Linked DNA regions of Danio rerio. The protein of the gene in region 1 purifies or fractionates together with the protein of each later gene. This does not show direct contact. Links are inferred from orthologs where the notes say so. Each region holds a gene or a part of one and is shown in the gene's direction. Other genes may lie near its edges.

Region 1 (3,500 bases):
TATAAATCCCCTTTACGTAGACACACACACGCCACAAAGCCACGGCAAAGGAAAACTTTAGCTAGTCGCCTGCTGCTCTCTTTCTCTTTTTCTCTGTAGAACTATACACTATAGCCCTTTGGATGGCAGTTGTTTGTCTTGGGGACCTAAAAGGTCCTTATAGCTTATCAGAAAGTGAAAAGAAAAACTTAAAACATTTGCAGTGGATGTTTGAGTTTGTAATGAGGTTAAATATTTAATTCACAAGATTTCTAGAATTAATAAAACTCAGTTAATGTAGACTAATGGACATGTTGGTTTGAAATTTTGGATGCAATTTTAAATACATAGGAATTATAAGGAAAGGATCTAACGCAAACTCTCAAAATAAAATGGTTCATATGGTATTGCAAATAATGTACTGTAATAATATATATATAGAAAAATCTATAAAAAAACAGAAAATGTACTGAAAGTTTTTTACAAGGTTTCTATAACATAATTAAACACCAACCCAGACAATGTATCACTTTAAAATATTAAAAATGTTAAAAAAAGTCATCTTTTCAAACTTTTTAAGGTTAGAAGTTGTCGGAAGATCAAAGACCCATAATGCAAATTAAAAGCAATTTTTTATTTTTTTTTCAAAAAACATGAATCACAAAATGCGGACAACTGCTAATTTATGGATATTTTTTACAGTGCAGGTAGTGAGAGAAAAAGACAGATGTTTTTTTTTTTTTATTCGGACAGGAATAAAATCTCCAGCCATCTTGAAAATAAAAAAAAAACATCCAAATAGGATGTTTATAGCCAAATATGATTATTTTTAATGTTTGTATTGCACAATGATTGCTACAGTAAAGTACTTGAAAGTCAGTTAAATTACAAATATATTACTAGAAATTGACTTTGGTTTAAGTAAAAGTCACTGTTTTGAATATTGTATTGAAGCCTGTATGAAAGCACTGATTACTATACGGTTCTATACCACCTTAAAGGATATATTATCCAATTGATGTCCAAAGAATAGGAGAAGAGTAAAGAGGTCATACACAAATTATTTTGTTCAAACAATGTATCAATTTCTTTATGATTAGTGTGTAAACATAATCATCACAATACAAATCAAATAAAATAGCGTAGGCCCACGTAAATGAAAACAATTATCATATAAGATGACAATAATTACAGTACTGTAAGGTTGTAATATAGTGGGGAAATAAATCCCAATAGTTTCAGAGGACTTATAAACAGAAAGGTCCAGCGATCACTTGTAATATGGTGAAATAAGTCCCAATAGTTTCACAGAAAAATCCACCTCATAAACAGAAGGTCCAGCGATCACTTCAGCAGTCGATCAATAGTAGTGATGTCATCAGCCAGTGTGCAACATTTGCCGGGATCTTCATTTGCAATGAATGTATAATGTATAATGAGTGATTGTGTAAAAGCAAGTGATCAGATTAAGTTAAATGTTGCTGTAAATGTTCATGCAGTAGCGTGTGATTTTGTATGTATGTGTGTGGTTGTTTCTTCAATGACGCACATCATAAAGTTCTGTCAAACTCTGAAGTAATCACACCACATCTTCCTGTCATCTGATAGGATTCAGTCAAACTGCCTTCTCTGAGGATGCTGTGATTGCAATCCTAACAGTTTGTTGGCTTTAACTCTCGAAACTGGCGACTGAGCATCACGATGCGCACCTGCCTTTCTCTCTGTTCCTCTTTCATTACTGTGTCGAACACTTTCACTTTATTCATTAAACTCGCGAGCGGACCTTTTAACCACGCCCACATAATAACAAAACAGGTAAAGACTAAATGTACAGTTAGAAAACAAAATAATTAAACAATCTTTTGTACAAATATCACTTGAGTAAAAGTTTTAAAGAATCTGATATTTATCATTTTTAGCTTAACTTAAATTTTTACTATTAAATAAGGAAAGTAGAAGTACATGTAAATGCTGTAAATAAAATAAAAGCTTAATCTTTTTTAATATAACAATGTCAAAAGCCAATAAATATTTACATTTTTTTTTGTTTCAGCGTGTAGCATTATTCTGCTCAGTTTTTACACTCAAAAAAACAAAAAACAAACCTTGGATTAACTGAATTTAATTGAGGGCAGGATTTCCATCCAATAAGTTTGTTTTGCACCAACTAAATAAAACAATTTACACAATTAAATGCAATTGACTTGGTCCAACATGATTTTATCAAATAAAAGTTTAAATACTTTGTATTTTTATTTAACTTAAACTGAAATGACTGATAATATCATGTATGTTCATTATGTGTTGTACCTTTCAAAGTCTTTTTGTTTTATTTGAAGTTATCCAAAATAAACTAAAATAGCCATTTTTAAGCATATTTCATGAGTTACATATACAATAAATTACGACTGATCTCAGAACTCAGAAGACAGTTATTGCTGACTGAGCAAAGCCATAAACTGCATTTTTGCTAATTAAGCTGCAAACACCTAAAGGATGGCTGCTTCTAAAAGGTGGTCATCTCAAAACTCAAAGCATTACATGAAACTCTTCTAAACCTCCAAACTAAAATGAAGAATAAACTTTAACAAGTCTTTCTATTAACTTTAAACACTTAAGATTACTTGTTTTGTCAACATTTTCCTTTCTTAATACATCCCACCCAAAGCATGTTGGGAACTACAAAAGCCCATAACCAGGTAGTTGGACCAACACAATTCCTTCAAGTTATCCCAATCCAAAACTCTTAAGTTAACTTAATGATTTACAAATGTAAGAGGACTGAACATAAAACAAAAGAATTGACCAAAGAAATTACAAGAATTGTGTTGTTTCTGCTCATTGTAAACAGGTTGAACAAGCAGCACTAATCATTTAGTCACACTTTATTTTGATGGTCCGTGTGTTGAATTTAAGTTCAGTTGAATCTACTAGACAACTAATTCTCATTAGATTATACGTAGACTGGAAGGTTTGGATTAGGGTTACGATTAGTGTAAAGTTTGCAAAGTTTCTTATAGTCAGTTAAATGTCTGTTAAAGGAGCAGTATCAACAGATTGTAAGCAGACAGTCTATTAATATTCAAATGGACCATCAAAATAAAGTGTTACCAATCATTTTTTTTGAGTGTACATTAAGTTTTTGAATTTTTTTTTTATTAAAGCTAAAATGTTTGGTAGAATTGTTATAATTTATGAAAGAAATGTAGTCCAGTAAAAGTGAAATTTGCCAGAATAGTAAAAAGTACAGATATTCACAACAAATACTTAAGGGCTGTATAATTACTTCATTACATTACACCATTGCATGTGTCCTGGAAGTAATTAGCAATATGATGTTTTTGTTCTGAATTGTCCTGTTGTGTATTTTAGAGATAATCGATGACCTCGCTCAGCTTGTGGACAAGACGGACGGCCGCATCAAAAACGAGACAAAAAGAGTCAAGCTGTTGGATAGCAAGTCTGCTTCCTGTGGTGAGTTTTCTGCCTCTGTAGAGCCACTGGTTTAATGTACTCGACAT
Region 2 (4,143 bases), on another chromosome or scaffold:
AAAGTGATCTAAATATTTCAATTTTGTTTATCCATTCACTGTACATTTTTTTTTTTTGTAGGCTTCCCTCTGCCATGGCTACTAATCTGTCAGTACCCTTGGCTTTCGTGGCCCTTCTGCACTTGGCTAATGAGAAAGTGAGTACTTTAAAATAGTTCAACGCTTACTATAGACGAAGATCTAATAAATATTCAGTGTTGATTTACTGTTAGCATGCTGTCTTGTTTAAACTTGTTTTTGTAACCTGCATGTAGAAACCTATTGTTTGTGTATTTAATTGCTGTGAATCTAAAAGTGGTTCTTTCCATCAACAGAACTTGGAGCTGCACAAAATTGATGGCATGACTGATATCATCATTAAACAAGGCCACTGAAAATCTGACACAAATCTTTTATGCACAAATTGTCATTTGTATCAAAATGTAAATCCGCTTTCTTTTGTTCTCCATGGCATGTAAAAATACAAATGTCGGGACAAAACAGTATAGCCAAGAGGAGGAGGAGGAGGAGGAGGATGATGACGGTGGTGTCAGGATTATGATAATGTTGTACAGGGAAATACCAAACCACAGACTTTTTTATTGATATATATATATATATACACACACACAAGTGAAAGTGAAAGATGTCAGAAGCATTCACCAAGAGGAAAAAACTCAACATGGTGCAGTTTGAATAATGTTTGCTTTTAAAATCAAGCGTTTTGATAACTTTAGCAGCTTCAGTAAAAAGTAAAAATATTAATGTGCTGTTTTCAGTGTCACTGTTTTTTTATTGCATTATTTAAATTGTAAAACATAATTTCTTAACTTTGAGGTTTCTTTTAGATGTGTATTGTACATACCATTTTCAAAAATAAAACGTGTTGTCACATTTATGCTTGGTTTTGTGTCTAGTATGATTTTTTTTTAAATAGAATAATGCTTTAAATGCATGCAATGCCAAAGGCGTTTAGGTGGAGTTGTTGAAGACGTATTGTGTTTCATGCATAGGAATTGAACTATTTTAACTTTGTTTTTAAGCAGTTTTCATCATGCTTGAAATTATAAACTTCTATAAATACCACTGAGTTTAATCACACATCAGTACTTTTAGAAAACTCACTCTAATCCGGTTTTACAAGACGCTTCTCATACCTGCCGGGAAGACGTCTAGATGGCATGATTATAGTATTTGCACTCACCTTACAGGTGTGTTTGTGAGATGAACCCGGCGCCATCTTGAGGATGCTATGGGAAGTGTCGCATCAGAGGTGGGCCAAAGCCAAGTCATTCGCTGCTGGAGGAAGAGTGAATTAGAGACCAGGAAGTGTTGACACGGCGTACATCTATCGGTTACACTAGAAAACAGTTGCAAACATTTTAATTCTAAAGGATAACGTGTATTTTTTATATTGTGGAGTAAATAAAAAGAAGCTGGTGAAACTATGGGTGTAACTGATCCAAACAGTACGGTAAGTCACTAATTTTAACAACAGTCAGCAGGTGCTTTTTGTTGCATCGTTTTTAAGTTTATAGTTAACAAAACTGTGCGAACTTAATTTCTCTTGATATCTGTGCGAATGTTACTTTTAGTGGTGCAAACATTAGAACAAGTCAGTGTGTGTGCGTGTCTTGTTTTTCACCGGTTGGTGTTAGTTTGACGCACTCCAAACAGGGCGAAGCTTGTTTTTCAAGTTTTACTTAAGTTTCTACGTTCCTGTTGTCAGCAAATGTAGATAATTTGCTTGGTTATCTTATACAAATGTAATGTTTAAATAACACATTTATACTTGAGATTAGTACCGTTTATATTGGAATTTTCTTGTACTGATTTGTTTACTCAGATGGATTGAATTTACCTTGAGCTTCGAAGCATAACCGGTTTGCATGATACTGTTGAGCTCCACTCTTACTGAATGGGCCCTCAGTTTAGAAATATATTCACAATAACTTCAGCTTGCAAATGTGCTGATAACATAACACATCTCTTTGACTGTTAAACTGAACCAGAAGTGTTAGGTCCTCCTGCTCGTTTGCTTCAGATCAGGTTGGTCAACTGTCAACACTTGGTTTTAAAATCATTTCACAAGTTCCACTCACAGTGTAGAGACTAACGTTACTTCGATGTATGTGGCATTGTGGTTAAGATAAAGTTTGTCTGTAGTGTTTTAAATAAATAATATATTCAATTTGTCATTTGAATGCTGGTCCTTGAAGGAAGCAAGCATGTCGTTGTTTAATACAAATATTAAAGAAACTCAAGTTTAAGAAATGGAAAATTACTTACCCTTGTTGCAAACCTGTTTGATTTTTCTTTCTTACATAAAACACACAGATATGTATTTTGAAAAAAGCTGGAAACCTGTAACCATTGACTTGCATAGTATTTGTTTTTCCTTCTATTGAATTCAGTGGTTACATGTTTTTGGCTTTCTTTCAACAGAAGACACTCAAAGGTTTGGAACTAATTGAGGGTGACTAAATAGTGAGTAAATGTTCTTTTTTGGGTGAACTTTTCATTGAAGATGATTGTTTATCCCATTATATATCTTTGATACATTTAAGTTTTAATTAAAAAAAACAGTTTCAACAAAACATACTTGCGGTTCACATAATACCAAATTATATTCTTTTTAATTATCATGTTGTTTCTGTCACATTATAAAGTGGATCGCACACATCACACTATTTTGCCACAATATTGGTACCTCGAACTGCCAGTATCAGATGTTACCTAATAGCTTTCTGCCATCCTGTAGGTCTTGTGACACCAACACACACACACACACAAAGAGAGAGCCATTGAGTATAATAGAAGGGCAGGACAGGTAGTGACGCAACAATGCTTTTGGTTTCCTGGTAACTCCTTTTGTTTATGAGGTATCTGCCGAACAGGAGAGCTTAAATGTGTTTAAAATGGCTGAACGTGTAAAAAGCACAGAGAGTTTACTCTTAAGACACAAATTGCACAATTAACGGCTAAAGATTGCTTCCATGAGACTTGTTCTATGTTTAAGTGTAGCAGTATTTTATTGGTGCTTTAATGTGTGAATGTGGTTAGGCTTTCTTGTTTGGTTTTGCGAGTATCACACATAAGGTGCCACATCTACACTACAGGCGAATTATACTGTATGATGTCTTGGAGTTGTTTTTATTTGGATTAAATATTCTGTCAAATGCAATTGAGTCACACAAATTCAGTTTGTTGTATTTGAATTATATTTCAGAATGTTAAAATTGGCATTCATCCAATCCTATTAATGCAATGTCATAAAATACTTTTCATTTCTCTAAAATACTTCAAATTTACAATACTTTAAGTAAAGCAGTAAATACTTTTGAAGAAGAATGTTGATGTTATTGCATGCCTTTTACATGTGTAAATATATCGCAGTGTTGCACACATACTGTACACATCATGTTGGATATATTGGATCTTTCCATGCTCAACATCTAAAAACCAAATGATCAAATAAATTATTATCAAATTAATTATTAAACCAAATTCAAATTGTGTGCTGCACATTTAAGATTATACAGTATATTAAAAATAAATACATTTGTAAAGTAGTTGATATAATTCTCTAGTAAACCAATGTAGTACTAAGCTCCGATATCTCTTGACCAATAATGGACAATGTTGAACATTAATGTTTGTACTTAAAAATGCACTCTATGTAATACCGTTGACCTTCGTACACTTTCTAATCTAATGTCTATCTTCTTTCATTTATTAATTTTCTTGTCAGCTTAGTCCCTTTATTAATCTGGGGTCGCCACAGCGGAATGAACCGCCAACTTATCCAGCACATTTTTACACAGTGGATGCCCTTCCAGCCACAACCCATCTCTGGGAAAAATGTCTATCTTATCCTTTTTAAATAAAACTTCCTAGCTCTGACTTTCTTCTTCAAATACACTTTTATTTGTTCTAATACTGTCTATAGAGGTTGATCTACTTCTAGCACTAACAATCTGTTTTCTGTACTTTTTTCTTTTCTAAATAATTTGGCCTTCTGGCATAACGCAGTTTTCTTTTTCTCTCTCTCTCTCTCTCTCTCTCTGTCAATTCAAATCAATTAAATTCAATAATTGTGTTATTTGCATGACAATTGTAAGAAATGTATTGCCAAAGCATTCATAAACTTTACTTTAAAAAGAA
Region 3 (3,976 bases), on another chromosome or scaffold:
TGTGTGTGTGTGTGTGTGTGTGTGTGTGTGTGTGTGTGTGTGTGTATCAGGCCCGGATTGGCTAATCGGGAGGACCGGGAGAATTCCCGGTGGGCCGGTGCGTTTTTTGGCCGCGAGGGCCGGTGTCCCTAGCTCTAGAATCTGTTGCTCTCAGCAGTCACACTTTTTAAATTAATTTATTTACTTACTTGACTACAGTCTTCTTATTCATCATTTTACCGCAGCTCTGCTCTTTTTATATATGACCAGCCTGCAGGTTAATGACGATATTAGTCAGATGAGTCAGTCCTTCATATACAACTGTTGTGGTCCAGTGGTTAGCACGTTAGATTATGACGCTAACTTTCAGTAACTCGCAGCGACATATATAATATATATATATTTATATATATATAAATAATTTTTTTTGTCAATATTTAATTTACTATTAATCTCACTTAATGACAACGGTGAGCACACTGTTTGCAGCACAAGACTATTCTTGGTTTAATTTTGGGGATCGTCCTCTATGTGTAGTCGTGGCCTTTATTTTTTATGTACACGCGTGCCGTAAAGGTGTCAGAGTTTAACATTGTGCCATTAATCTAGTGTAATAACCCCAGGGGTTGGAATCCAATGGGAAAAGAATTGAAAGGCTGATGGCTTTTTATTTGCATGCTGTTATTTTATTTAACTATTAAATACCATGTTTATCTTCTGTAAGTTATGGATAAAATATGGCTATTCTAATAGTTTAATAACATATATTAAAGAGAAATCACCAAGCAACCCACCCTCATTGTCTCACAAACCCCAATTTGGGAACCACATAGCTATACTACTAGTAGCCTACATAAATGTTTATGTGAAGTATGCTTAAGATATATCAATATTAACTAACTATACTTAATAAAAAGGAACGTGAAGTATACTTCTTTTTAGTAAGGTTAGGCTACTTATTACCCATGTGGAAACCAAGTTAAAGTCTACTTTATTTTTGTTATGTAGGCTAGTTTTTTTTTTTTTTTACTTTTTTAATTGGGGTAAGTTAATAATAATAGACATCTGCCTAGTATTTGTCGATCTAAACATATAGTACATAAACTCAATAGTTTAGTATATGCGTCAAGTACATTACTAATCTACTACATGTTTCTGAACGCACACGGAAGATAGAACAGAAGTCACGTGACCCGCGCGTCAAAGAAATCAGCTGAGGGCTCGGAGTTTCACTCAGGAAATCCAGGTAAACCGAACAACCAAAGTACATATTAAAGTAAACGATGCGTATTTATAAACTGTACATGTGTGCAGACTTTACGTAAATAGTTGTTGAGGGTAGTTTAAAAGAGAAGTCAGTAAAGTAGCAAGCGCAAAGTTCATTCACTGAAGCATATTTGTTGACAGCGCGATTTGTGTTCACTTGACATGAAACTACACTGTAAGATTCCCGAATGTTAATGTTTGTTGTGTGTCAGCAAAGTTAAAACAATAGCTGTCTAGTTTTATAAATGAAAATGCGTGTTTGTGAGTTTGTGAGCCGTGATTTCCGCATTCTTTCGTTTTGCAGGTGCAGCGCAGATCGGTTTTACTAGTCATCTGTTTAGTACTAGCCTGCTAACCAATAAACAACATTACGCCAGCTATTTTCGAGTAATTATTGAGCTAATAAGGCATATTTCAAAGCAAGGTGAGCAACTATATGGGGCAAGTTTTCTCGTTAATTCAAAATGACAACAGTAATATCATTAAGGGAGATTCTAAAACGCATGAAATAAGCTTAATAATTGAGGTTAAGTTGATTTTATACTATAGACTTTATCCTTAATAATATAATTTTGGCTAAGAACTGCACATTCTGATTAGGGACATCATATTAGCATCTAATGACTTTCAAAGTACACGCTGCTCTCAGTCAATTAAATAATGCTAATGTTTAGGTCATACTTACATGTGATTTCAGACTTCATATATAAAGTAGCATGGTAAACAATATAGGGAGTGTATCACAAGTTGTCACTGAAAGAATGTGCGAATATAAAACCAACTTTGCCTCAATAGCTTAATATACCTAAACATCAACCAGAGAAGCCCACATTTCGATCAAACTTTACTTGTAATTAACCCGAACTACTGTTAAGACAGAGTCCCAATTCCATAAGTGAAAAATATCACGCTAAGCGTTTTCTCCACTATTGAAGTCTATTATAAGTAAAAGCTTAATGTGGCTTAATGTACCTCAACAACAAGTGGGGGGAACCAAATTTCTATCAAATTTTACTTGTGGTTAGCACTAACTATATAGCAAAAAAATTAAAAATTTGCCCCATTTCCACAGCTTAAGTGAACAGCGTTTTTCCCTATGTTGTTGTGGGGATGTCAATGACATGCACAAGTGCATTCTTTTGACAGCAAAGGGTTAATCTATAATAAATTAAGTTAGATTTTTTGAACAGCTTTTTTATAATTTGGTTTCCCTCTGTTTTTAAGTCAAGCTTTCCTTATTAAGGACTTCAACGGGGAAGAAAACACTTAACGTGATATTGTTAACTTTATCTGTGGAATTAAGGCCCATTCTTTTAAAAATAGTTTGTCTTAATCACAAGTAAAGAAATTTGGGTTTCCCTGGTCTGGGTTAAGATATGTTAAGCCACGTTAAGCTGATTCCTTATAATGCGCTTCTGTGAGGAGAATGCTGAAAGTGATATTGCTCACTTGATACACTAAAATAAAAGCTTGTTCTTTTACAGCAGTAAGTGTTTTTCATGAATATATATCTATAGAAATTTGATTGTCTCTAGATGTTAAGTTAAACCACATTAAGCTGTTATAATGGACTGAAATGGGGATAAAATGCTTAACAACATTGTCCGCTTTATCTACAGACTAAGGGCTTGATCTTTTGATAGTAGTTAGTGTTAATCACAAGTATTCGATAGATTTTTGGTGTACCCCACTTGTTGAGGTATACATTAAGCCATGTTAAGCGTTTTCCTTTTATAATGGACTCAGTGGGGAGAATTGCATACCGTGATAATTTTTACCCACTAAAATAAGAGCTCATTCTTTTGACATCAGAAAGTGTTTGTAACTTTTATAGAAATTTGGTTTCTCCCACTTGCTGTTAAGGTACATTAAGCCACGTTAAGCTTTATCCTTATAATAGACTCCAATGGGGGAGTAAACGCCTAACATGATGTTTTTCAATTTATCTGCTTAATTGGGACTCATTCTTTTTACAGTAATTAGGGTTAATTACAAGTACAGTTTGACAGAAATTTGGGGTTTTCTGGTTGATGTTTAGTTACATTAAGCCCCGCTTTCTTCATGTTAAGCATTTTTGAATGTCCCCATTAATATAATTAAGAAACGCATACAAAATAGTGAGCAATTGTTTTGGTCTCCAAATAGTACAGTACGTTTTAAGGGTAACTTAAAGTTGGTTTATATTCACACATTCAGACTTTCTCCTTAATATAATTTCAGAAAACTATTCTTTACTAATACTAAATAGTCAAATCATATTCCCAGCAAATGACAATTAAAGTACAGCATTGTTCATGGTCAATTAAATAGTGCTAATGTTGTTTTGGAGGCATATGATTCAGACCGAATATTTAAAGTAGTAAACAATATAGGAAACATGTCACAAGTTGTCCCTAAATGAATGTGGGAATATTAAACATTAATAAGTATGTATAGTTTGTGTAAAACATGTTTACAACTCGTGAAAGTCTGTCACTACTTGACATTTATTAAAAACGTCGCAAATCCAGCATTTCAGTTCATACATGTTAATATACAAACTATTCTGTAGCATGTAGGATCAAATATAATGATAGTTGAATGTTATTGAAGGAAGAAATTGATAAGCCATATGTAAAAACACGTTCAAATAGTATGTTTTAGGAGCAATGTATATAAGAAAACATGTTTATGAATAAATTGTATAAGCTTGTTATTATGTAGCGCAGTATAAGAGATAATTGTGCGATTG
Region 4 (4,279 bases), on another chromosome or scaffold:
ATTTGTCATATCTCATCTGGACCACTTTAGACTCACAGCCACATTAGCCAGAGCTTACTGTGCCAAATATTTGCCAAAAGTGGCCCACATTTGTTTTATAATAACTGGCCCACATTTGCACCTACACATGTGAGCCACTTTGAGTTTAGACCCAGATTACCCTCTAATGACTATGCCAAATTTTTGCCAAATGTGGCCCACATTTGTCCTCTATCATTTGGGCCAAATTGACCATTTTCCACATGGGCCACATTAGGTTCACATTCAGATTACATTTTGCCATAAGTGCCAAATCTTTGCCTTAAATGGTCCTTATATTAATTGGAATCTTGGCCACCTTTTGTCATTGTACAGGTGGACCACTTCAGGCTCACGTTTATTTTGTCTGGCCCGAAAAAAGACCAACAGTGCAACATAACTGCCTAAAGGGGCCTACATTTGTATGCTATCTGGGTGTTGTTGATATTCAGGAATTTTTATACTTTTTTTTTTTTTTTTACCAAAGAGGCTAGAAAATTTCTAAAGAATTCATTATTATCGTTTTATTATTATTATTATGTTTTAATTATAATTTTTATTAAAATGGCCAAATTGTGACTGAGGACAGTTGAATGTGCTGGCCAGTTTGTTTTTTGTCTAATAAATGATAGTGGGCTACTTTTTTTTACTTTAAAACTTTAACAGATTGCTATTTTTTCCTAATGATAAATGATGTAATAAATTTGTATTTAAAAATAGTCTTGTTTTAATTTTTCTTTATTGCATTTTTTCAGGAAATATTTTCAGTACATCAAAAAGTGTGATTATGATAACATCTGACTAGCTAATCCAGCAAAAAAAAAAAAAAAAATTTTATATATATATATATATATATATATATATATATATATATATATATATATATATATATATATATATATATATATATATATGACTAAAATGTAGTATTTAAATCTCATAGTTAAATAGAAACTGAGGTGTATAAGTGCAAAAAAAATCCACTTTTTGAGAAAAAAAGAACCACCCCTTTCACCAGACTGGCTACGGGCCTGAAAGGGCTATTTTTTACTTTTTTTTTTTGAGTAATATTTACATACTTTTACTCTACTTGCACTACATTTTGGGCAAGTAATAGTATTTTTACTTGAGTATGATTTTTCTACATTTTTTTGAGCAATATTTACATACTTTTTCTCTACTTGCACTACATTTTGGGCAAGTAATGGTACTTTTACTTGAGTATGATTTTTCAACAATCTTTCCACCACTGCTCGTTTTTTTTATGTAGACTACAGAACTCGTTAAAACATCCATATCTTTAAATTGCATCGCAAACCTAGTGCTTTATTTCACAATACAAACCTAATCACATCAAAATGATTAAATCAGCACTATCTACCGTACAGTACCAACAAACAGCTCGTGCGCGCGCGTGTGTGACGCAATGCAGACATCTCTTCGTGGTCGCCAGTGAATGACGAAACGCGGAAGACAGTGACGTTTGTTGATTTCTGGATTTACACACACCGGCGCTATTTTGATCAATCCTAGCATTTCAGACATGTTTGTAAGGCAATGAAAGTGCTGTTTATGCCACTGTGGGTTAAAGACGTCAAAGAGAGGAGCACGAGCGGCTGTTTGTCCGTCAGAATCTCAGGTAACGTACATATAGCGGATGATGATCGATCAACAGATCATATCATCGACTTCATCTGATTTCATCAACAGTATTTTATCATCAGACTAATGTCACGTAGACACTGTTATTTTATTATTTTTCGTCGTTTTGATGTCCTATAGACTAGTCAATAATAACTACAACTAGTGCGATTATTGTATAGCTTTATAGAGGTAAAGTTGGTTTTATATTCGCACATTCGTTCATTTAGCAGTCTGTATATTGTTTACCATGTTACGTTGAATATTCGATCGAAATTAGCTTGCAAGTATGTCTTCAAAACAACATTTAACATTATCTAATTGATTGTGGACAATGTTGTACTTTGCTAGTCACTGGCTGCTTTTATGATTTTCCTATTTAGAATTTGCAAATACTTTAATGACATTTAAGGAGAATGTCTGAATATCCGAATATAATTATAAAACCAACTTCACATCTATTATAGCTTTTACTGTACGTTATTTCAGTTATTAACTTTTGTGAAATCGTGTTGCTTGTAATTTACGCAAGTCATGTTATTAACTGTGTCTGATATGCATGTATACAGTAAGTCAGATAAACTAAAAGCTCACAAATCCATATATTAATATCAAAACATTGATAGTTGCCTGTTGCATAATATAGAATAATATATAAAATAATACATTTGATTTGTAATGCGCTTTATACTTAAAGCGCTACAGGCAAAACACTAATACACAAGGCAAACAAAACAGCACAACAATAAAAGATACAATAAAACAATAAAAATATGAAGCATAAAATAGAAATAAAAAGTTAAACAAAATGATCATCCTAAGTTAAAAGCTATGCTAAAAAGGTGAGTCTTAAGAAGTTTCTTAAAACAGTCCAGAGGCAGCATTTCTAATGCTGATGGAGAGTACATTCCAAAGCTTAGGTGCACTGTGTGAAAAAGCCCTCCCACCCATGGTCTTGAGTTTACACCGTGGCTGATGCAATGTAAGTCTGCAGAACGAAGACTGCAGGCTCCGGTGGCGAGGGTCAACAGGTTGCAGATGTAACTGGGTGCTAACCCATGCACTGCTTTAAAAGTTAAAATCAAACCGTGATTTTACAGGAAGCCAGTGTAATTGTTGTAGCACAGGAATAATGTGGTGGCGTGATGATGTGTGTGTTAGAACCCGTGCAGCGGAATTTTGTATATATTGTAGTCTTCTGAGAGAACTTGCAGGTAAACCCCCAAAAAGTCAGTACAAAGTACAAAAATCAAGACGTGATGTGATGAAGGCATGGATAAGCCTCTCTGCATCAGAGAAATGGTCTGATCCGTGCAATATTGCGGAGATGAAAGAAGGCAGTTTTTTATATCTTCTGTATGTTCAGAAGATTCTGTATACGGTAAAAAGCCCTCCCACCCATGGTCTTGAGTTTACACCGTGGCTGATGCAATGTAAGTCTGCAGAACGAAGACTGCAGGCTCCGGTGGCGAGGGTCAACAGGTTGCAGATGTAACTGGGTGCTAACCCATGCACTGCTTTAAAAGTTAAAATCAAACCGTGATTTTACAGGAAGCCAGTGTAATTGTTGTAGCACAGGAATAATGTGGTGGCGTGATGATGTGTGTGTTAGAACCCGTGCAGCGGAATTTTGTATATATTGTAGTCTTCTGAGAGAACTTGCAGGTAAACCCCCAAAAAGTCAGTACAAAGTACAAAAATCAAGACGTGATGTGATGAAGGCATGGATAAGCCTCTCTGCATCAGAGAAATGGTCTGATCCGTGCAATATTGCGGAGATGAAAGAAGGCAGTTTTTTATATCTTCTGTATGTTCAGAAGATTCTGTATACGGTTGAGGTAAAGTTGGTTTTATATCCCCACATTCAGACTTTCTCCTTAATAATATAATTTTAGAAAAGTATTTTGTGCAAATTCTAAATGGTGAAATGCTAATTTTGATTTAAATTCATACGTGCAATTTCACACTGAATACTCCATTCTATTACCATGTTAAACAATATAGGGAGCATGTCACTAGTTGTCAGTAAACGAATGTGCAAATTTAATAGCAACTTTACAGTGTATGAACGCATGCCTGGTAAACAGTGGATAAAAGGTAAAGTCGGTTTTATATTCGCCCATTTGTTCATTGACAACTTCTGACATGACCCTGTATTGTTTAACCATGGTGTTCGATGAAAAATACAGACTGTGGAATGTGTTTTTAACAGAAATATTTTGTAAACTGAATTCATGAATGTAAAATGTTGAAAACAGCAGATTACTGGCAACCACAGCGGCTGGTATTTTTCCGTAAAATCAAAAAAGGAAGAAAAAAAACAGCAAAACGGTTTTTGTGTCACCATTGTGGAGGTTAGTAGCGTCTGTGTTCAAGTCCAAGATGAACTAAAGAGTATTTAATGTTATGCTGCATCTTCTTTTGTTTAAAGGTGACTGTGTAGTTACTAATGCAGTCAAAATCTGTTTGCTAGTTGCAATCACACGTGAACACATTATTGCATTTAAAGACTTTACATTTTTGTGCACTAAGCTATGATTTTGTAAACTAAACACTGTATTAGTTCATGGTTATATTTCGTACATTTATACAGTTCTATAAAACTTCCATATTTTTCACA
Region 5 (3,500 bases), on another chromosome or scaffold:
CTCAGACTGTTATTTCAAACACCTGGTTTCAATTCAGACAGAACATTAGATTAAACCCACAATGCCCAGTTGTGCCCAGCCTGATATACTCATCTTCTTAATTTGCAGAGGAACCTACTGGAGGAAGACTCTGATGAAGAGGAGGACTTTTTCCTGTAAGTCTGCAGTTGTGCATAATCACTCTTGAATTGGAATAATAACAGATCTTCTGCATTAATTATTGTTTGCGTCCAGCTTTTGATTTGTCTAGCTTTTTTTTAATGTTTTTTTTTAAAGGAGAGGACCGACAGGACCAAGATTTGGAGGTCAAAATGATAAAATCAGACAGTACGTACACAATTTTTCTTTTAAATTTTTTCTGTTGTTTATGGTTTGTATGTGAGCAGCACTAGTTCTGTGTTCCCTTTGTGGATTGACAGTACAATACTTCTCATTTCAGTCAGTTGTCGTCCATTTGGTCTGTTCTAGCATAGGCTTTTGGTCCAGACACTATATCTATATCTATAGCTTATTTAACAATGCAGATTGTGTCAAAGCAGCCTAACATAGATGAAGAAAAGAAAGTAAAAGCAATAATATTTTAAATTGTGGAATTTTCCAGGAATTCAGGCAGGTAGGCCAGAGAGTAAAGTCGAATGCTGGTGTAGTTCTAGTAAATTGAAACTGTTTCACTTCCGTTTTAGTATAAATTCAGTTTAGTTCATTGATATAGGGTGTTTACACCACACTTGTAATTAGATGCACAAATATTTTTAGTTTACTTCATTCTTGCGTTAAAATCAGTTCACAATAGACAAAGATTGATGTCATGGGAGGGCATCTGTCTGCCTTGTGACTTCAGCTTTGTTGCTAATGGCTAACATGAATTTTATGAAGAGAGTAGCTGTGCTTCTCCAGAAGCTGTGCCAGGATCACAGAAGCCTTCAGTGGTATTTCCGACTGAGCTAGTTCCAGTTTGATGAGCTGTTGTCCTGTTTTCACTGGAGGATTTTTCCCTTGGGACACCATCAAAAGAAACTATGTTGTAGTCATGGCCCTAGTAGAGCAAGTTCCTGGTTAACGCTGCACCAATGTCCACCAAAGTTCAGATTTTTCAACTGAAGTGTCATTTGCTCCATTCACATTATTTGCTTGATTCACTTCATTCGTGCAAGTAGCGTCGCTGGATGTCTAATCACTTCTTTGCATTGACCTAACATGTAAATCACTTGCGCTAGACCCTACATCCACATCTGGTGTGAGCCTGCATCAATGCAAATATCATTGCTGAAGGCCGATCCACTGAAGAGCAGTCCACCAATGTGCGGCTTCACTAGTGCAGCCAAGCAAGCAAGAGGCGAAAGTGGCAAGGAACCAAAATTTCACCAATTGAAGGAAGTGAAGAACAAGCCTTGAGAGAAATCAGGCTAGACCATTCTTAATCTTGCTAAATGTCTTGTACAGAGGTGCAGTATGGATGCCACAGGCTTGAGAATAAAGGATGCCCGTTGGGGAAAAGGTGCAGGTCCAGGTTGGTCACTAGGCAGTTGTTCAAACTAGCAGACAGGATCAATGCGTTGACCGATTTGTCACTGGGGTCTTTGCAGAAACCGACTCAATGACCACAACAGCCATCTGCTCAGGATATGGGTTGTATTAATCATTTTGTAGACCTAGTGATAAGAAAAAACAGACTAACACAAGCATAAACATGTTGGCCTGGTGTGTCCCAGGCTTTCATTGATTCCTGGTAATTTGGCATGCCTTTGACAATGCATTGTTTTTATGTGAACAGTTTTGTTTTTTAATGTAAACAAAATCAGAAAAAAATATTTAAAATATCCATGTGGACATGGCCTAAGATTGTAGTCTGAGGATGCAGTCTGTGTTGAGGCTGAGACTAAAAGAGAGAGTCAAAGTTGGGACCAGAAGATGGTCAAGTTTGAGTCCAGGCAGAAACCTAGAGAGGGTTGAGTTCAAGTCAAGACTTGATGTTTTAAGTTTGGTAGTTATTTTCAGAACTGAAAAACTAGAAATGTTCAAGTAGTAGGATGAGCTGAGCTTAAAAATGTGGAGGCAGATATCTAGAGATTTACACTGGCAGGGTGTTATGGAAATCGCAGTTCTTGATTCAACCAGCACTGCCCATGTCGTTGTGCTTGTAGTTTATGTAACCCTTTATAATGACATCTGTGAAAACACCCACCCACAAACACACCTCCCGTCTGCAAAGAAGGGAAGCACTGTAACCATCTGGGTTTCTATGAAACAACATAATATTTGCAGGCAAAAGTAAACAGCTACTCCCAATATTCAAAAGTTCTTCTGGTCCTGACGTGGATGTAGTAGCCAGACTGTGAGCTTTTCTTTGTTATGAAGTTTGGTACATACTAATGTGTTGCAGTAATTCTCCCAGTGGAGACCTAGCAGAGCTTCGCCCAGTGTGTGCAGCCACACGACACCAGCTTTACGTAACCATGTGCTGCACTGTAGAGTGACCCATAAAACAATGGAATTTAATAGGGAAACCTTGGAAGGTGAAATTTTCCTAATGTTTTTTTTTTTTCTTGCCTTTGTGTACTTCTCTGATTTTTGCACTTACTTCATTTGTCTGTTGGTTATTGATGTGGAAGCAGGGCTGCACGTGGAAGGTACAATTCCAGGTGCAAGAGATGTGCAAGGTCCTGTGCCATTGGCACTGATGATGGTTTGTACTAGGCGGGCATCCAGGCACAGAAGCAAGGGGCAAAACATCCTGTTCTCAGTTCATTTACAGGTTAATCTCCCTTTTCAAAAGCCATGCCAAGCTCTTGTGCCAGGTGTATGAGAGCAGCTAAATACCTCACATGCTATTTAGTGCGTATTTGCTTGTCATGCCTATGAGATCAAATATTTCAAACTATTTGGATGTGTCTAGACTATGTCTAGCAAAACATTCTCACCACCTCTCGACATTGCAGGGTCAACAGATCATAGTCATAATGATGAATCCCGAATGGTTTATAGAAGAAGAAAAGGTTCACTTTTTCAAAATAATAGAATCACAGGCCTAAACATGTGCACAGAAGCTGTTAAAATGTCCTGCTGAATCGAAAGGAAGTACCATACCATTCCCCTCATGTTGTCCTCTCTGTCTTGTTGGTCTTCAGGGTGCAGTCTCAGGTCGATGAGGTCATTGACGTCATGCAGGAAAACATCTCCAAAGTGATCGAACGAGGAGAACGTCTAGATGAGCTGCAGGATAAATCTGGTAAGATGGATGTGAACGAATCATTGTGAATCCTTTGCCACTTGCTAATTTCTTTAATTCCAAGAGAATCAAGACATGATTCTTGGACCATCACAGAAGTTTTGTAGTTTCTTCTTCAGACTGGGAATCTGTAGTATTGTGAACATGGGAACAATTTCATTTAAGTTCAATTAGGGCTGGGCGATATGGCAAAAATGTAATCTCGATAATTACTGTCCATATCGAACAATTAAAATATATATTCTGATATCAGTTGTTAATGCTTCCACAT
Region 6 (4,038 bases), on another chromosome or scaffold:
ATGAAAGCATTTCACGATTTGTAGACTGCACATCCATGATACAAATTTCCAGTTCCACCACATCCCAAAAGTGCCCTATTGGATTGAGGTGACTGTGAAGGCCATTTGAGTACAGTGAACTCATTGTCATGTTTAAGAAACCAGTCTGAGATGATTCGCACTTTATCACATGGCTTGTTATTCTGCTGGAAGTAGCCATCAGAAGATGGGTTCACTGTGGTCATAAAGGGATGGACATGGTCAGCAACAATACTAATAACAATACTAATGTGACCAAAGTGTGTTAAGAAAATACACCATTACACCACCACCACCAGCCTCAACCGTTGACACAAGGCAGGATGGATCCAAGCTTTCATTTTGTTGATGCCAAATTCTGACTATCTGAATGTCGCAGCAGAAATCGAGAGCCATCAGGCCATGAAATGTTTTTTCAATCTTCTATTGTCCAATTTTGGTGAGCCTTTGTGAATTGTAGCCTCAGTTTCCTTTTCTTAGCTGTCAGGAGTGGCACACGGTGTGGTCTTCTGCTGCTGTAGCCCATCTGCCACAAGGTTGGACGTGTTGTGCATTCAGAGATGCTCTTCTGCAGACCTCGGTTGTAACGAGTGGTTATTTGAGTTACTGTTGCCTTTCTATCAGCTGGAACCAGCCTAACCATTCTCCTCTGACCCCTGGCATCAACAAGGCATTTGCGCCCACAGAACTGCCGCTCAATGGATATTATCTCTTTTCGCACCATTCTCTGTAAACCCAGATTGTTGTGCGTGAAAATCCCAGTAGATCAGCAGTTTCTGAAATACTCAGACCAGCCGGTCTGGCACCAACAAACGTGCCATATACAGAGTCACTTAAATCACCTTTCTTTTCCTATAATGATGCTCGGTTTGAACTGCTGCAGATCGTCTTAACTGTGTCTACAAAATACAGGTGTACCTAATAAAGTGTATATACACACTGTATTACTACTGTGGCATTCATTAACAAAGTTATAAACAAGCTATACTATGTATAATACACTTGAATATAGTAGGCTAGGCTGTTTCACTGCCAAAACCCAAAAGTAACACATGACAGCTGTAATGGTCCAGCGTGATTCTAGTCATATTATCTAGTCAATAATTTGCACATTATAGAAATAATAATAATAACATTAACATTAAGCGACATTAACAAAGCAAATAAAAGAAATAAGTTAAAGTAGACCCGTCAAAACAGAAATCTAAGCTCCGCCTATTAGTGTTACCGCTATGATCGTGTGTTTCCTTTCTATTCATTTCGATTTCTGTGAGAGGAGCAGCGCATCGCCGCCGCATCTGAGCATCACAGTTACAGGTATGCGATTCATTCTCACTCTTTACGTATTGAAACCGTTCGCTTTGTTGACATTCGTGCAAGCATATTTACATAATTTCAGACGTACATAATTAGTCCTTGTTTTATTGCAGCGACAGGCCTGCTGAGCCATTACCGACGTGAAATGTGTTGCGTTGCGTACGCAGTAGCCTACATTTTCTGTATTTGTTTCAGGTTTATTCATTTACGTGTTTTATCTACTGCTATTTTCAGAAATGTGTAACCTGTACATAAAATAAGTCGTTTATTTATATTTAATGCGCGAACACAGTTAACCTAAAGTGAATGTGATTTATGGCATCTGATCATGCAGCTGTTGTTTTTCAGTCATCATGTCTTACGGAATGATGGACAGCAGCCACTCACAGTCACAGCCGAGAGATTTCAACAACCTCACGCAGACATGCAGCTCAAACATCCAGAAAATCACACAAAACAGTAAGTAGATATATTGCAGACACACTTTAAGTGATCGTTTAAATGAAATGCGTGCAATTACACTGCAAAAAATGCCTTTCTTGCTTAGATTTTTTGTCTTGTTTCTAGTCTAAATATCTAAAATTTATTATGTCAAGAAGCATTTTCTAGACAAGCTAACCATATTGTCTTGAGAAATAATATGCCAATATTAGGTGAGTTTTTCCTTAAAACAAGCAAAATAATCTGCCAATGGGGTAAGCAAATTAATCTTGTTTTTTCTTTTGACGTAAGATTATTTTGTTTACCCCATTGGCAGATTATTTTGCTTGTATTAAGGAAAAACTCACTTAATATTGGAATATTATTTCTCAATACAAGACAATATGCTTTGCTTGTCTAGAAAATTATTCTTAAATTAGGAATTTTTTAGCTATTTGGACTAGAAACATGACAAAAGATCTAAGTAAGAAAAGCATTTTTTTGCAGTGTAAACAGTTTACTGACCCTGAAGACACCTTTCTTCTTTTAGACAAGCACAAAAACAATGACACAAAGTAATTTTCTGGCTTGATTTTTTTTTCTACACATACACATCAATTTTAAAAAAATAATCCACATGACGACTCCATGGGTAAAGATGGTTTCTGTAGTGAAGGAATTAGTTTTTGTCAGAAAAATATCCACATTTAATGCTTTTCCAGTTTGCACATTCTCAAGGGAAGTAGCCTATGTATGATAAGCCTAACCCTTACTGTAAATTATTCCCAAAATCAGAGGGGATTAATATACTGATGTAGATTTGTATAACCCTAAATGTAAGCCTAAACTTAAACATAACTGTAAACGTATTCCTTAAATCTAATTGGCTGATTGGAAACACAGATATTGATCCAGAAACATGTTACTCGATGAAATAGTGTAAATCTTAAATTAGAATTTTGGCAGTTTTGGATATCCTGTACATTTGTATTATTATTTATATTAAAATTATCCATGTTTATGTCCTACTTCATATGTGATAGCTTGGCTCTTACTGTATGTCAATACAGATTTTTTTCCCCTTAGAGAGCATTGAATAACACGCTGTAGTGATATGGATTATTTTTATGGAAATCTTAAACTGGGGCAGCATCAAATCCTATAAAAAATATGGGAAGTTTTTTTTTTTTAATAACTCTGTGTTTGTCTGAAATAGAAAGGCATGTTGTACAGTACATCTAGGATGGCTTCAAGATGAGTAAATTATGAATTATGTTTTTCACTTGGCGAAGAGTTCCTTAAAGAAAAGATTGCATTATCTGTTAAATCTTTAACTATTTAGTTTGAATAGGTATTAATGGGCAGTTCATTGCGCTGTGGCGACCCCGTATTGTTAAAGGGACTAAGTGGAAAAGCAAGGCAGGGCAAGTTTATTTATATAGCACATTTCATACACAGAGGCAATTATAAGTGTTTTACATAAACAGGAATAAAAGAAACAAGAGTAAGAAAATAAAAACAAATAATAAGAATTATAAAAATACGAATAAAAATAAATAAAACAGATAAAAATGTGTTAAAATATGTTATAAGATAATGAAAAAGAAAAGAAAAGCATAATAGTGCGATCTGTCGACGCAGCACAGTGCTCATTCAGTAAGGGCACAGCTAAACAGATGTGTTTTCAGTCTTGATTTGAATGTGCCTAATGTTGGAGCACATCTGATCATTTCTGGAAGCTGATTCCAGCAGCGGGGGGCATAGTGGCTGAAGGCGGATTCACCCTGCTTTGACTGAGCTCTCGGAACTTCTAGTTTATATGATCCTAAAGATCTGAGTGATCTGTTAGGTTTGTATTCAGTGAGCATATATGAAATGTATTGAGGTCCTAGGCCATTTAGTGATTTATAGACCAGTAACAATACTTTAAAGTCTATTCTGAATGTAACTGGGAGCTAGTGTAGAGACCTGAGGACAGGTGTGATGTGCTCTGATTTTCTGGTTCTGATCAGAATCCTGGCTGCAACATTTTGGATGAGCTGCAACTGTCTCACTGTCTTTTTGGGAAGGCCAGTGAGGAGTCCATTACAGTAATCCACCCTGCTGCTGATAAAAGCATGAAGAAGTTACTTCACTGGAAACAAAGCATTCTGATTCTTGCAATGTTTTTGAGATGATAGTATGCTGATTTACTTACTGCTTTGACATGACTATTGAAACTCAGATCTGACTCCAGAGTCACACCAAGATTCTTGATCTTATTTTTTGTCGTTTGACCTTTAG
Region 7 (3,500 bases), on another chromosome or scaffold:
GTTGATAAAGTCCTGGAACGAGACCAGAAGCTGTCAGAGCTGGATGATCGTGCTGATGCCCTGCAGGCCGGAGCGTCTCAGTTTGAGACCAGTGCCGCCAAACTCAAGAGGAAATTCTGGTGGAAGAACGTCAAGGTAAAACTAGCAGTAAAACACTAGTAGTTTAGTAATACTTGCTTCAGTAAATCAAATTTAGGAATGTTTTTTTGAAGTTACATCTAATTTATTAATAAAATGTATATGTTTTCAGTGTTTTGAGGGATATTAAGTGACTTTTAGAGGTTGCTGTTGGTCAAACTATACAAATGATGCGTCTAATTTTTTGTTTTTTAGGCTACATGCAGATATGAACACCTATTTTACGTGAAACGTGTTTTGTGAATACTTAAGTTGTCCATCAGAGCTCTTGAACTGCCCGTTTCAGACCGTTGAATATTATTTTTTAGAATTGATTGGTGCGATTATGCATTCACAATGGTATAAACCGTAATGGGGGGTCAAATATATAGTTATTTAATAAATTTTTAATTATTAATATGTAAGATATAGACCAGAGAAAGCTATTTCTTACTATTAAAGGGCTGACCCCCATACATCTTGATTTGATGTCCTTCAGGGGGGGTCAATCGTTAATTAGAGGAGTCAAACCCCTGTAATTCGCTCCCTGCTTTTAATTAATTTCATTAAAGGCATGATTAGGTTATTAGGTTAACTGCAGTAGGTTCACACCGGAGGAAACACGAACACAGGGAGAACATGCAAACACCACACAGAAATGTCAACTGACTCAGCCGAGGCTCGAACCAGCGACCTTCTTGCTGTGAAGCGACAGCTTTACCCACTGCGCCACCGCGTCGCCTACATAAAAATGGTCAATTGTAATACTTTGATTGCATTAACACGTTTCTGACCACCAGACGTCCCTACAACGTAGAGTTTCAGACACTTCAAAACGTTGAAACATTTTGCGAAGCAATTCTTCAATTGCTTCTAATGCTGGGTTCACCCAAGACGAGGAAGAAGTGTCAAGCACGAGTGCTTTACATGTTAAGTAAATGCAAAGATGCTAATAGACATCCTGCAACGCGATACGTGTGAATGAAGCGGCGCAAGTTGATCGTTTTGCACGTATCACACAAATCGCTCGAGTTGAAAAATCTGAACTTCATCAGACATTCGAGCCTCGTTAACCAATCATGAGCTATGTCTTGTAGGGGCGTCACTATGACGTAGCGCCTGTTGTTGGTGTCCCAGGGGAAAATCCTCCTGCCGACACTGGACAGCTTATCACACTGGGCTTGGCTCAGTCAGAAGCACTGCTGAAAGCTCCATCGTCCATGTATAGTTTCTGGAGGAGTTTGAGCTCAGAGCTGGGTGCACCTTTGAATGGATCTAGTGCACTCAGACACGGCACATAAACGCAGCTATTCTCTCAATAAAATCAATGTTAGCCATTTAGCAATGAAGCTAGAGTCACCGTGCAGACAGAAGCCCCGCCCATGGTGCGAATCCGTGTCTGTTGGGAAGTGAATCTGATGCGCGAATAAAGCGGGTAAACTTAAAATGTTTACGCGCGAATAGCACGATTTATCTGTGCGTGCACCATCTAGTGTGAACACAGCATACGCTTTGAAAAGCTTCATTTCTGCCATCAATAGTGGCTACATTGTTATAGTACAACGACTAGCTGTAGAAGAGCAAGCAAATACCACGTGGAAACAGGACCACAATGTCTCACTTCAGGGCTCGAAATTGGGACCATTTTGGTCGCATATGCGCCCGAAATTTAAGCTATGCGACCTCATAATATATATTGGGAGCATTCGTGCGACTGCATATAATAGTTGTAGTGCGACCTGTTTTTTTTTTTTTTCTCAAAACGTGGTAAAATCGGTCTTCCCTGCCGATATATTGGTTCATATTAGCTGTCAATCACTCAAGATTTTCCGCTGTCAGTCGACAGGGAGAGAGCTTTTGTAACCTTGGGGAATGCAAACGGCTGAAAAGTGAAAAGTACACTGAATCTCGATGCGTTGCATGCACTGCATGTTCAGCCAACACAATCTCACGGCAATTCATAACATTTTCAAAAGTTTCCTCGTGAGATCAGGCTGCAACAGCGCAAATGTCCGCTAAAACACCATCGCCAAAGAAGCTTGCCTTTACTGAGTTTAAACTGATGCGGGTTATAACAAAGAACAGTGTTGCCCCTGTGGTCATCGGGAGAATCCTGCCCTGCCCCCCTCGTATTGGGCCGGCTGACTCGCATGCTTTTCCACAAACACATATGTAATTCAGCGCGTAACGACGCTGAGCATTAAAACGACACGAACCGAAACACGAACTTTTAAAAGTGAGACTTTTCTTCCTTTCTTTTGTCCGTTCTTTCTTGAGGTGTATATTATTTTTCTATTTAATTACTGATGACTGCTTTTCAGCTTTCAGCATTGAACTAAATGATTTATTATATTATTTCGTTTGTTTTGTTGCAGAAATATTATTTATTTAATTGACATGCATATAAAACAATAGTACAAAATAAATATTTCTTACTACAATGCTTCATTTGTGTTTGATGCAAACCATTAATTTATTTTTCATAAAGTAACTGTAGGACTATATAGCAGATAACTTACATTAAAGCGGGACTAAATTTTGAATCCCGCTCCCGCCCGCACCCGCCAGGTTTTAGCCGGAACCCGACCGCTCCCGCTTATATTAAGCACTTGATGTCCCGCTGCCCGACCCGCCCCGTTTTCTATCCGCCGCGCCCGATCCCGCTAAAGAGCGGGGGGAGAACAAAACCGAATAATCACCCAGTTATACAGTCCAGACAGTCTATAACAAGCTGTCTGTATAAACACACACACGCACGGCACCAAGCACACACACACAGACAAAGCTTTTTCTCTCATTTGCGCGCGCCCTCTAACACACACTCATAAGCACCAAGCACAAACACAGGCAATAAGGCAAAGCTCTCGCACACACACACACACACACACACACACACACACACACACACACACATACACACACACACACACACACATACATACACACACACACACACACACACACACACACACACACACACACACACACACACACACACACACACACACACACACACACATATCTGTCATTCGCGCGTGCGCATACATACACACACACAAACAAACAAGCTAAACACAGCATCGCGCTATTTCATTTACACACATACATACGCGTGCTCACTCGGGAGTCGGGAGCGATATTGCTTGACAGCCCGCTCCCGTCCCAAATTAAACCCGCTACCGACCGCTGCCGTGATTTATTCGGAAATTTATACCCGCGCCGTAGAAATCTGGTCGGGTCCCGCGGCGCCCGCGGGACAGCCGCAGGAATGCAGGCCTCTACATTCAAGGCAGCATGATGATGAGAAATATAATTCATTATTAGTATTATTATCATAATTAATATTTTATAACTATTCAACATTCATTTTGGAATTATTGCAC

What was found.
Region 2: the proteins of stx8 (region 1) and vamp8 purify together in Homo sapiens (co-immunoprecipitation; 5 studies listed by BioGRID and IntAct, with this or other methods). This does not show direct contact. The link is inferred for Danio rerio from reciprocal best matches to the Homo sapiens genes STX8 and VAMP8.
Region 3: the proteins of stx8 (region 1) and stx7l purify together in Homo sapiens (affinity purification with mass spectrometry; 5 studies listed by BioGRID and IntAct, counting the BioPlex papers as one, with this or other methods). This does not show direct contact. The link is inferred for Danio rerio from reciprocal best matches to the Homo sapiens genes STX8 and STX7.
Region 4: the proteins of stx8 (region 1) and sybl1 purify together in Homo sapiens (affinity purification with western blotting; 3 studies listed by BioGRID and IntAct, with this or other methods). This does not show direct contact. The link is inferred for Danio rerio from reciprocal best matches to the Homo sapiens genes STX8 and VAMP7.
Region 5: the proteins of stx8 (region 1) and vamp4 purify together in Homo sapiens (co-immunoprecipitation; 3 studies listed by BioGRID and IntAct, counting the BioPlex papers as one, with this or other methods). This does not show direct contact. The link is inferred for Danio rerio from reciprocal best matches to the Homo sapiens genes STX8 and VAMP4.
Region 6: the proteins of stx8 (region 1) and stx12l purify together in Homo sapiens (affinity purification with mass spectrometry; 3 studies listed by BioGRID and IntAct, counting the BioPlex papers as one, with this or other methods). This does not show direct contact. The link is inferred for Danio rerio from reciprocal best matches to the Homo sapiens genes STX8 and STX12.
Region 7: the proteins of stx8 (region 1) and vamp3 purify together in Homo sapiens (co-immunoprecipitation; 3 studies listed by BioGRID and IntAct, with this or other methods). This does not show direct contact. The link is inferred for Danio rerio from reciprocal best matches to the Homo sapiens genes STX8 and VAMP3.

What each region holds. Positions count from the first base shown.
Region 1 is NC_133181.1:25,853,213-25,856,712, forward strand, and holds part of stx8 (syntaxin-8), read left to right. Parts: intron 1-3,351; coding exon 3,352-3,453; intron 3,454-3,500. UniProt on the Homo sapiens protein: Vesicle trafficking protein that functions in the early secretory pathway, possibly by mediating retrograde transport from cis-Golgi membranes to the ER.
Region 2 is NC_133180.1:28,878,231-28,882,373, forward strand, and holds the start of vamp8 (vesicle-associated membrane protein 8), read left to right. Parts: upstream 1-1,343; 5' UTR 1,344-1,426; coding exon 1,427-1,453; intron 1,454-4,143. UniProt on the Homo sapiens protein: SNAREs, soluble N-ethylmaleimide-sensitive factor-attachment protein receptors, are essential proteins for fusion of cellular membranes.
Region 3 is NC_133195.1:49,559,518-49,563,493, forward strand, and holds the start of stx7l (syntaxin-7), read left to right. Parts: upstream 1-1,176; 5' UTR 1,177-1,225; intron 1,226-3,976. UniProt on the Homo sapiens protein: May be involved in protein trafficking from the plasma membrane to the early endosome (EE) as well as in homotypic fusion of endocytic organelles. Mediates the endocytic trafficking from early endosomes to late endosomes and lysosomes.
Region 4 is NC_133189.1:9,609,540-9,613,818, reverse strand, and holds the start of sybl1 (vesicle-associated membrane protein 7), read left to right. Parts: upstream 1-1,479; 5' UTR 1,480-1,657; intron 1,658-4,279. UniProt on the Homo sapiens protein: Involved in the targeting and/or fusion of transport vesicles to their target membrane during transport of proteins from the early endosome to the lysosome. Required for heterotypic fusion of late endosomes with lysosomes and homotypic lysosomal fusion.
Region 5 is NC_133195.1:16,244,147-16,247,646, forward strand, and holds part of vamp4 (vesicle-associated membrane protein 4), read left to right. Parts: intron 1-108; coding exon 109-155; intron 156-276; coding exon 277-327; intron 328-3,128; coding exon 3,129-3,229; intron 3,230-3,500. UniProt on the Homo sapiens protein: Involved in the pathway that functions to remove an inhibitor (probably synaptotagmin-4) of calcium-triggered exocytosis during the maturation of secretory granules.
Region 6 is NC_133191.1:7,959,399-7,963,436, forward strand, and holds the start of stx12l (syntaxin-12), read left to right. Parts: upstream 1-1,238; 5' UTR 1,239-1,250; coding exon 1,251-1,335; intron 1,336-1,683; coding exon 1,684-1,794; intron 1,795-4,038. UniProt on the Homo sapiens protein: SNARE promoting fusion of transport vesicles with target membranes. Together with SNARE STX6, promotes movement of vesicles from endosomes to the cell membrane, and may therefore function in the endocytic recycling pathway.
Region 7 is NC_133186.1:42,699,741-42,703,240, forward strand, and holds part of vamp3 (vesicle-associated membrane protein 3), read left to right. Parts: coding exon 1-135; intron 136-3,500. UniProt on the Homo sapiens protein: SNARE involved in vesicular transport from the late endosomes to the trans-Golgi network.